Linked DNA regions of Yarrowia lipolytica. Each later gene encodes a partner of the first gene's protein in a complex. Links are inferred from orthologs where the notes say so. Each region holds a gene or a part of one and is shown on either strand. Other genes may lie near its edges. The genes, in order: YALI1_E05709g and YALI1_B25593g.

Region 1 (3,527 bases):
TTCATCGAACTATTTACATGGAACCTACAGAGAGGTTCCCTCCAAAAAATGCTTTGCCCAGTTGGGCAGCACAAATGATGCCTCGTGGATTTCCTTGTTATAGTATCTGACCAGACTGGACTCTTCCTCTTGAGTCCACTGTCGCTTGGGGATCTTGAGATTGGTCGGCTTCTTACTGCAGACCATCAGACCCAGCTGGCCAGAGGTGTAAGTGGGCAACAGAGCAGCGCAGTATTCCACAGATGCGAAAACACCCTTGCAGATGTCACGGAGTTGCTTGACAAACTTGAAGTTGAGCCAGACGTTCTCCGAAGACTGGGTGATAACAATACCGTCATCATTGAGGGCGGTGTGCAAAAGCTGAAAATACTCGCGCTGGAAGAACTTTTCAGCAGGGCCATCGGGGTCCGAAGAGTCAGTGATGATGACGTCGTACTTCTCATCACTCCGGGCAACTTCTCGGATGAACTCGAAACCGTCTCTGATATGAACTGTGACCTTGGTGTTATCGAAACCTACGGCCATGTTGGGGAGATACTTCTTGGAGAGCTCGATGACGCTCTCGTCAATCTCACACAAATGTGCAGCCTCCACAGACTCATGCTTAACGATTTCTCTGAGAACTCCACCATCTCCGCCTCCAATAACCAGCACTCTCTTGGGACACTCATGCGACATCATGGCTACATGGCAAATCATCTCCTGGTACGCAAACTCATCTCGCTCAGACACCTGTACCACTCCATCCAGAACCAGCACATTTCCGTACTCCGTGGATCGAAACACAAGAACATCCTGGAACTCGCTCTGCGAAACATGCAAAATTTCCTCGACCTTCAGCATCAGGCCCTGGCCTGGAAAAGAGTCGGAAACTTCAGTGAACCAAGAGTCTGTGTTAGTATTGATCAGATGCGCAACCAGAGAGCCTACGGTGGTTTCTGACACTCATTCAGCCGTGGTACTTCACTCTGAGTCAGGTCTGATCTGTAGGCCTCATCTTGAGGCACTTCGGTATTGCGCCCACGAACCCCCTCCAACGCAAATACTCACTCTTAATACTGGCGTGTTCTAGTTGCTTGACCGTCATGATTTCTGCGTGCAAGGAACCGTCAGGAGTCTCAGAATGGGGATATAGAAAATAATTTAGGTCCAGAAAAGAGTGCAGTGAAGTTGCATGAAAACTCAACTGTATATCCATGAGGCATGTTCCAGGCAGGTCAACCCGCCATGTCCACCTTGTGAGAGGATAACAGAGCCTTTCTGATATTTTTGATAGAGAAAGCACTTAAGTTAGAATAATGATCCGGCAACGATCTCTTTGTACTCGCACGAACAATTTTTACATCCAGTCCTGGACACATCTTCCATACAAGATTTTTCTCTCGGCAATTTTTTGCGCCGCACTAAAAGTCAGATAGAGATGATAACAATTAGAGTTGCCACGTGACCAAAAGGGGTGATTTTTGATCCTGACAATTACTCATCTTGCTCATTAGAACCAGCCCTTGTACCATTTTTCCGTCGTCCTAACACCTGTGGCTCACTAATGTGGTGCTATTTCCAATCCCAAGTCGGATTACGTAATTCATGCAGGATGCCAAAATTTATCTGAATCTTAATCGGAATGATTTATTCACACAACTGAGGCCCTAACGAGTGTTCAAAGTCGCCCAATGAAGCATCCTTATCACATCGTGTCTCTTTCTCCTGACGGAAAGACCATGTACGCCGCTGCTGCGCGACAGGTGGATCGAATCTGCCTCGAGACCGGCGAGTGCAAGTCCACTGTCGTTGAGGAGTCTGCCACTCGAACAACCACCAAAACCGGAGATAAGCCTGCTGCTGCCAAACGAACCAAGTACCTGCCTACGTCTGTGTCTCATGTCAGATCTCTGCAACTTTCCAAGGGCGGAAAGTATCTGCTGGCCACCACAGACGAGACCAAGTCTCTTGTTCTGCTTGATCCCACAACCCTTGAAGTGATCAAGAAGGTGCAATACCCCAAGAGACCCAGCGCTGTCGCTACTGACAAGGAGGATCTGAACATTGTTCTTGGCGACAAGTTCGGAGACGTGTACGGAGAGTCTGTGGAGGATCTGCTCAAGGTGGAGGGAGAACTCAAAGACGAGCCTGTGCTGGGCCATGTCTCCATGCTCACAGCTCTGGAGCTGGGCTACGACTCCAAGGATCGACCTTACGTCATTTCTGCCGACCGAGACGAGCACATTCGAATCAGTCGGTTCCCCGCTTCCCACGTCATTGAGCAGTTCTGCTTTGGCCACCAGCAGTTTGTCTCCAGCCTGTTGATCAACGATCTCGATGCCTCCATTCTCTTCTCTGCCGGTGGAGATGACGAGATCTTTGTGTGGGACTGGCTCAATGGCAAGCAGCTGCAGAAGCTGTCTCTGCGAGAGCACGTCGAGAGCTACCTTAACGAGGCCCACATTTATGTCGACAAGAAGGGCGTTGCTACCACCCACAAGGAGATCACAGTGTCTTCTCTGCAGCAGATCAAGGACACTCCTTACCTGCTCGTCAACGTCGAGAGCACCAACGCTATTATTGTGCTCAAGATTGTCGACAACAAGCTGGAGGTTGCCTCTGTCTTCGCCACTGAGGCTCATGTCATTTCTTTCAGCGTGGCTGGCAACCTCCTGGTGACCTCTGAAGTTGGCTCTGAGGGAGTCAAGGCATACACCATCACCGACGGAGTCGTGACCAAGAGTGACAAGGAGATTCCCTTTGGCTCTTGCGAGTACGAGGACGATTCCGAGCTCATTTCTCTCTTCAGCACCAAGTCGTTGCGAAAGCGAGGAGAGTTCTAAGTGGTTTGTTTCTTGACGGGGTTCTAACAATGGAGGGAGGTGTTACTTGCAAAGAGTAGCCAGCATATGTACAACAATGCCTCGAGGAGGTTTAAAAGTAACTATTGAATACATGATAGATTTTTATTGATTGAACAGACGTATCCTAGTGTACTTGTGACAGACCACACACTTGGAGGGCTGGCCCCATCAACTAATTTCTCCTCTATTTTTAGTTTAAGTTCACAAGGTTGGATTTTTTTTCGGGGAGTGTCTCAGGTGGCTTCAGCGCATACTGTATCGAGAGAAGAACACCCACGTCACGTTTCGTTTCGTGGTTAGGTTGCCCAGCTAAATGAAAAATAGGCCGATCATCATCCTTCCACGTGATATCTGAGCTGTGTAGGAGCTCAAGTTGACTGTTTTTTTTTTTGCTTTTGCCACCCCAGAACGAATACGAATACCTAAATACACGTGCCCTCAGCGCAAGTGGACTCACCACATCGTCGTGGGCTACAGTTCAAGGGCACCATCTACGGCTCTCTCCACACGTCGTTCTTTTTTCCTTAGCCTTTTTTGCAGTGCGCGTGTCCCAAACCCCAGCTCTACACACCAGCACAAACAAAGTTAAGCTCAGGGTTGTCGTTGAGGTCGCTTACTGTAGTCAGTGCTCGTATGGTTCGTTCAATTTTCGCCAAAAATCGTTTTGCCTTTGTATCTTGG
Region 2 (3,675 bases), on another chromosome or scaffold:
ATGAAACCAATGTTGGTCTCAACAGCCGGACCCAGGTCCTTGACCCAGAACTTCTGGGACTCTCGGTGAGCAGCCATGGAGCCAGTCTTGAAGGAGTCAACGTAGGCGGCGATCATCTGCTCCTGAACGTGATTGGCAGCGTTCTTTCCAGCAGCAGCCATCTCCTCGGAGATCTGGGCAAACTCGTTCTTGGAGTCTCCGTAGGCCAGCTTGAGGGTTCCAACATCGGGAATCTCGTAGGAGGGATCGAACTGGGTATCCTGGGCGATGCCGGTATCAGCCGAGGCGATTCGCAGCTCAAATTGCTTGGGGCCAGTCTTCCACACCCGGGTGTTTTCGGGGTAGATGGTCTTAGAGGCGCAGAAGTCGTTGATCTTTGTGATTTCGTCTTCAGTGATGTCGCCGCCGTAGTACGCGGTCACGTGGCCCTTGTCCAGGAAGCCCAGCAGGGTCTTGTCGGTGGAGTAGATGGCGTCGGCCACCTTGTCGAAGTTGGCGGTCTGGTCGGCGGTGGCAGCAATGGTGGCGAACTTGGCACGTTCCAGTCGAGGAACAAACTTGGCATCTCCAAAGGACTTGAAGTTTCCGAGGTTGGACAGGAACTGGGACGAGTACTCCAGGAAGGATCGAACGTCTTCCTTGGACACTGACTCCGACTCGAGCTTGGAGTAGTCCTGATTGACAGCCTCAGCGATGGCCAGAATCAGGTTGTAGATGTCCTCGGACTCGGGCGAAACCTGTCTGAGTACAACTCTGGTTCCGAGATGTGAGGCTCGAGAGAAGTGGTGGGCGTACTTCTTCTCAGTGTCGGACAGAGCATCAAAGTGATCCTTGATAGCGAGCTGGATGTGGGGTGCTTTGGTGTCGTTGAGAGACATATTTGTAGAGGATGAGGTAGAGAGAAGACGGTTGAAAGTGGTCAGGTGCTTTTGTACTTGTCCTAGACGATGGGGCACGGCACTACTCAAGCGGCGAAGCATAGTGCGAGAGGAAGTTTAAGTTGCAGTGGGGTTGTGGTGGCTGTAAGGACTACAATACTTGTGCTGTACATGAGCATTGTGAGGTCTGGGAGGTGGAAGAGATAAGTAAAGGAAAGGTGGGTTTAGGGCAATTAATTGGGTATATATAGACAACGATGGACGTACCACAAGGCCAGTGTGATGAGTGGGATACTCTCTCTATCCATCCCGTTCTCCCATTTCTATCACTCGAGACACAACCTTATATCCCAATCCATTAATGTGGACGTATCACGACTCTATGAATCGCGAAGTACCGTACAAGTAGACGGCACAGGCCTGACATGCATGAAGAGATGCCGTGCGTGAATCATCGTGTAGAGTAATGCTTGGGGTTAGCGGACCAACCAGATTTCCTGAATGAATGGGCACGTGTATCTGTAGCTTCGTGGGGTTATTCTGTCCGTCACACTTTCAATCTGTTTCACCTTGTACTGGGACCTGTCCAAATTTGTTGTAAAAGTATTATCGGTACATTACGTGACGTGACGTGTCGTCCTGTTGAGGCCAAAGCATTTTGAGGCAAACAAACACAACACCACCACTGTAAATACCTCGAAGAGGCTTACAATAAGGCTTGAAGAACATTTAATATCCGCGGGCTTAACAGGGAAAAGAAATCAATCTTGCAAGCAACAACGGCTTCCTTTTTTTAAACCGTTTTGCTATGATTGGCTTCTTCGCCCACTCGCCTCTCAAATTAGCTCTGTCTCACTCGACGTCTGTCGGAATCCGAAGGCTCACCACGATTAAGTTATCATTAGTGAAAAAAATTTGATTACTAAGTCATAATCTGACAAGAGTGAACAACAGTCAAGGGGTGATGGAAATCAGCTCCATGACGCAAACTTTAGAGGAGCCGCTGTCTTTTATTCTTTTCTACCACCCCCTCACCTATTCTCCTACCGTTCCTCCTCACCTCTATCACATCCTTCATGCAGAATTTTAATCAGGCTTAATTTTTTTTTGGACCCCAAATCACACAATGTTGAAACGAGATCAGAGCGAAATGGACATTGAGGCGGAGACTGCTAACATGGGAAAGGAGGAGAAGGAATCCTTTGTGCACAAGCGACAAAAGTACCGACAAGAGCAGGAGGAGAAGCGACTGGCAGCCAAGAAGGGAGTATCCTTCGAGCAGCCCGAGGACGGCGAGATCAAGCTCCCCAAGAAGCGATACTACAGACAGCGAGCTCATTCGAATCCCTTCTCTGACCATCAGCTGGAGTATCCCGAGTCGCCCGCCGACATGGACTGGGACGTACTTTACCCCAACCGAAAGGAAGGCCAGAAGGTCGAGGTGGCAGACATTGGATGTGGATTCGGAGGCTTGCTGGTTGCTCTCTCCCCCCAGCTGCCCAACCAGCTGATCCTGGGAATGGAGATCCGAGTGCAGGTTACTAACTACGTGGAGGACCGAATTGTGGCTCTTCGACACCAGAACAAGGAGACCGACGGCTATCAGAACATCAGTGTTCTGCGAGGCAACGCTATGAAGTTCCTGCCCAACTTCTTCGAAAAAGGCCAGCTGTCCAAGATCTTCTTCTGCTTCCCCGATCCTCACTTCAAGCAGCGAAAACACAAGGCTCGAATCGTCACCACCACCCTGTGCTCCGAGTACGCCTATGTTGTGCGACCTGGAGGAATCGTCTACACCATCACCGACGTTAAGGATCTGCACGAGTGGATGGTCAAGCATTTGGCCGCTCACCCTCTATTTGAGCGACTGACCAAGGAGGAGGAGGACGCTGATCCTTGTGTGGCCACCATGCTGGTCGAGACCGAGGAGGGCAAGAAGGTGGCCCGAAACGAGGGAGATAAGTTTGTTGCATGCTTCCGACGAAAGGAGAACCCTGAGTGGTAAGGAAGCGGAAGTGACCTGCGGCAACTACTGGCCAAAAATGGACAAGGATGTATGTACTTTTACAGAACAACATCCTATGTAGATCATGATGTGGAGACCCATAGGCGAGGAGGAAAAGGATATGTAAGATAGATTGATTATTGTGTTTAATGAAGGGTGTATACAGTATAGACACTCTTTACTGTACATAGACCGTGCCAGATGTAGTCATACACAAGTATTCGTAGTTCCTCAAAGTAATGCGGCTTAGTAAGGTCAAAAACATACTGCTGTCAACAAAAGCATTATCTGGGACAAAAAGAAACTGGGCCCAACCGGGAATTGAACCCGGGACCTCTCGCAAATTGCCTAGGACACCCTAAGCGAGAATTATACCACTAAACCATCGGGCCAGCTTTTCTGCCTTTGTTAGGGAGAGATCTCCTTAGTCAGGGTCGTCGGATTACATAATAATGACTCATTAGAATAAAAATAAATAATGAATGATTTATTGAACGCCAATAACCCGGCTTGTTAGGTATATAGTTGTAATGAATCATTAGAATAAAATAGAAAACAGTCAACGTCACGTGATCTAAAATGACTCCCGCAAGTGAACACAAAAGTGTGCAAGTTGGCAAAAACAAATGATCTGCAAGGTCCCATATGCGATGGGGTTCTGTGCAAGGAAACACATGCTGGATAACACAATTGGAGTGTGTATCCAATTTCTTTTTTTTTCTACAAATATTTCCTTTTAATAGCGCGACCCATACTACAGTATTGCTCTGAGCTGTATGTACGGACGAGGTG

What was found.
Region 2: the proteins of YALI1_E05709g (region 1) and YALI1_B25593g are in contact, whole or in part, in a crystal structure (PDB 2VDU), measured with the Saccharomyces cerevisiae proteins. The link is inferred for Yarrowia lipolytica from reciprocal best matches to the Saccharomyces cerevisiae genes TRM82 and TRM8. Residues at the interface, in NP_010449.1 of Saccharomyces cerevisiae: Asp172, Glu189, Leu192, Gly193, His194, Val195, Ser196, Asp208, His210, Asp219, Glu220, His221, Lys223, His226, Gln229, Cys230, Phe231, Ile232, Val233, Asp234, Lys235, Trp236, Phe238, Gly239, Lys241; in NP_010080.1 of Saccharomyces cerevisiae: Tyr69, Val71, Ser72, Pro73, Met163, Lys164, Phe165, Pro167, Asn168, Lys172, Asn199, Thr200, Leu201, Ser203, Glu204, Tyr207, His235, Pro236, Leu237, Thr282, Pro283, Ile285, Leu286.

The regions. Positions count from the first base shown.
Region 1 is NC_090774.1:569,295-572,821, forward strand, and holds YALI1_E05709g (uncharacterized protein), read left to right. Parts: upstream 1-1,673; coding exon 1,674-2,825; downstream 2,826-3,527. Other genes in the region: YALI1_E05701g (uncharacterized protein), read right to left, coding at 25-890, 1,051-1,087. UniProt on the Saccharomyces cerevisiae protein: Required for the formation of N(7)-methylguanine at position 46 (m7G46) in tRNA, a modification required to maintain stability of tRNAs; its absence resulting in tRNA decay.
Region 2 is NC_090771.1:2,557,615-2,561,289, reverse strand, and holds YALI1_B25593g (uncharacterized protein), read left to right. Parts: upstream 1-2,004; coding exon 2,005-2,883; downstream 2,884-3,675. Other genes in the region: YALI1_B25603g (uncharacterized protein), read right to left, coding at 1-980. UniProt on the Saccharomyces cerevisiae protein: Methyltransferase that catalyzes the formation of N(7)-methylguanine at position 46 (m7G46) in tRNA, a modification required to maintain stability of tRNAs; its absence resulting in tRNA decay.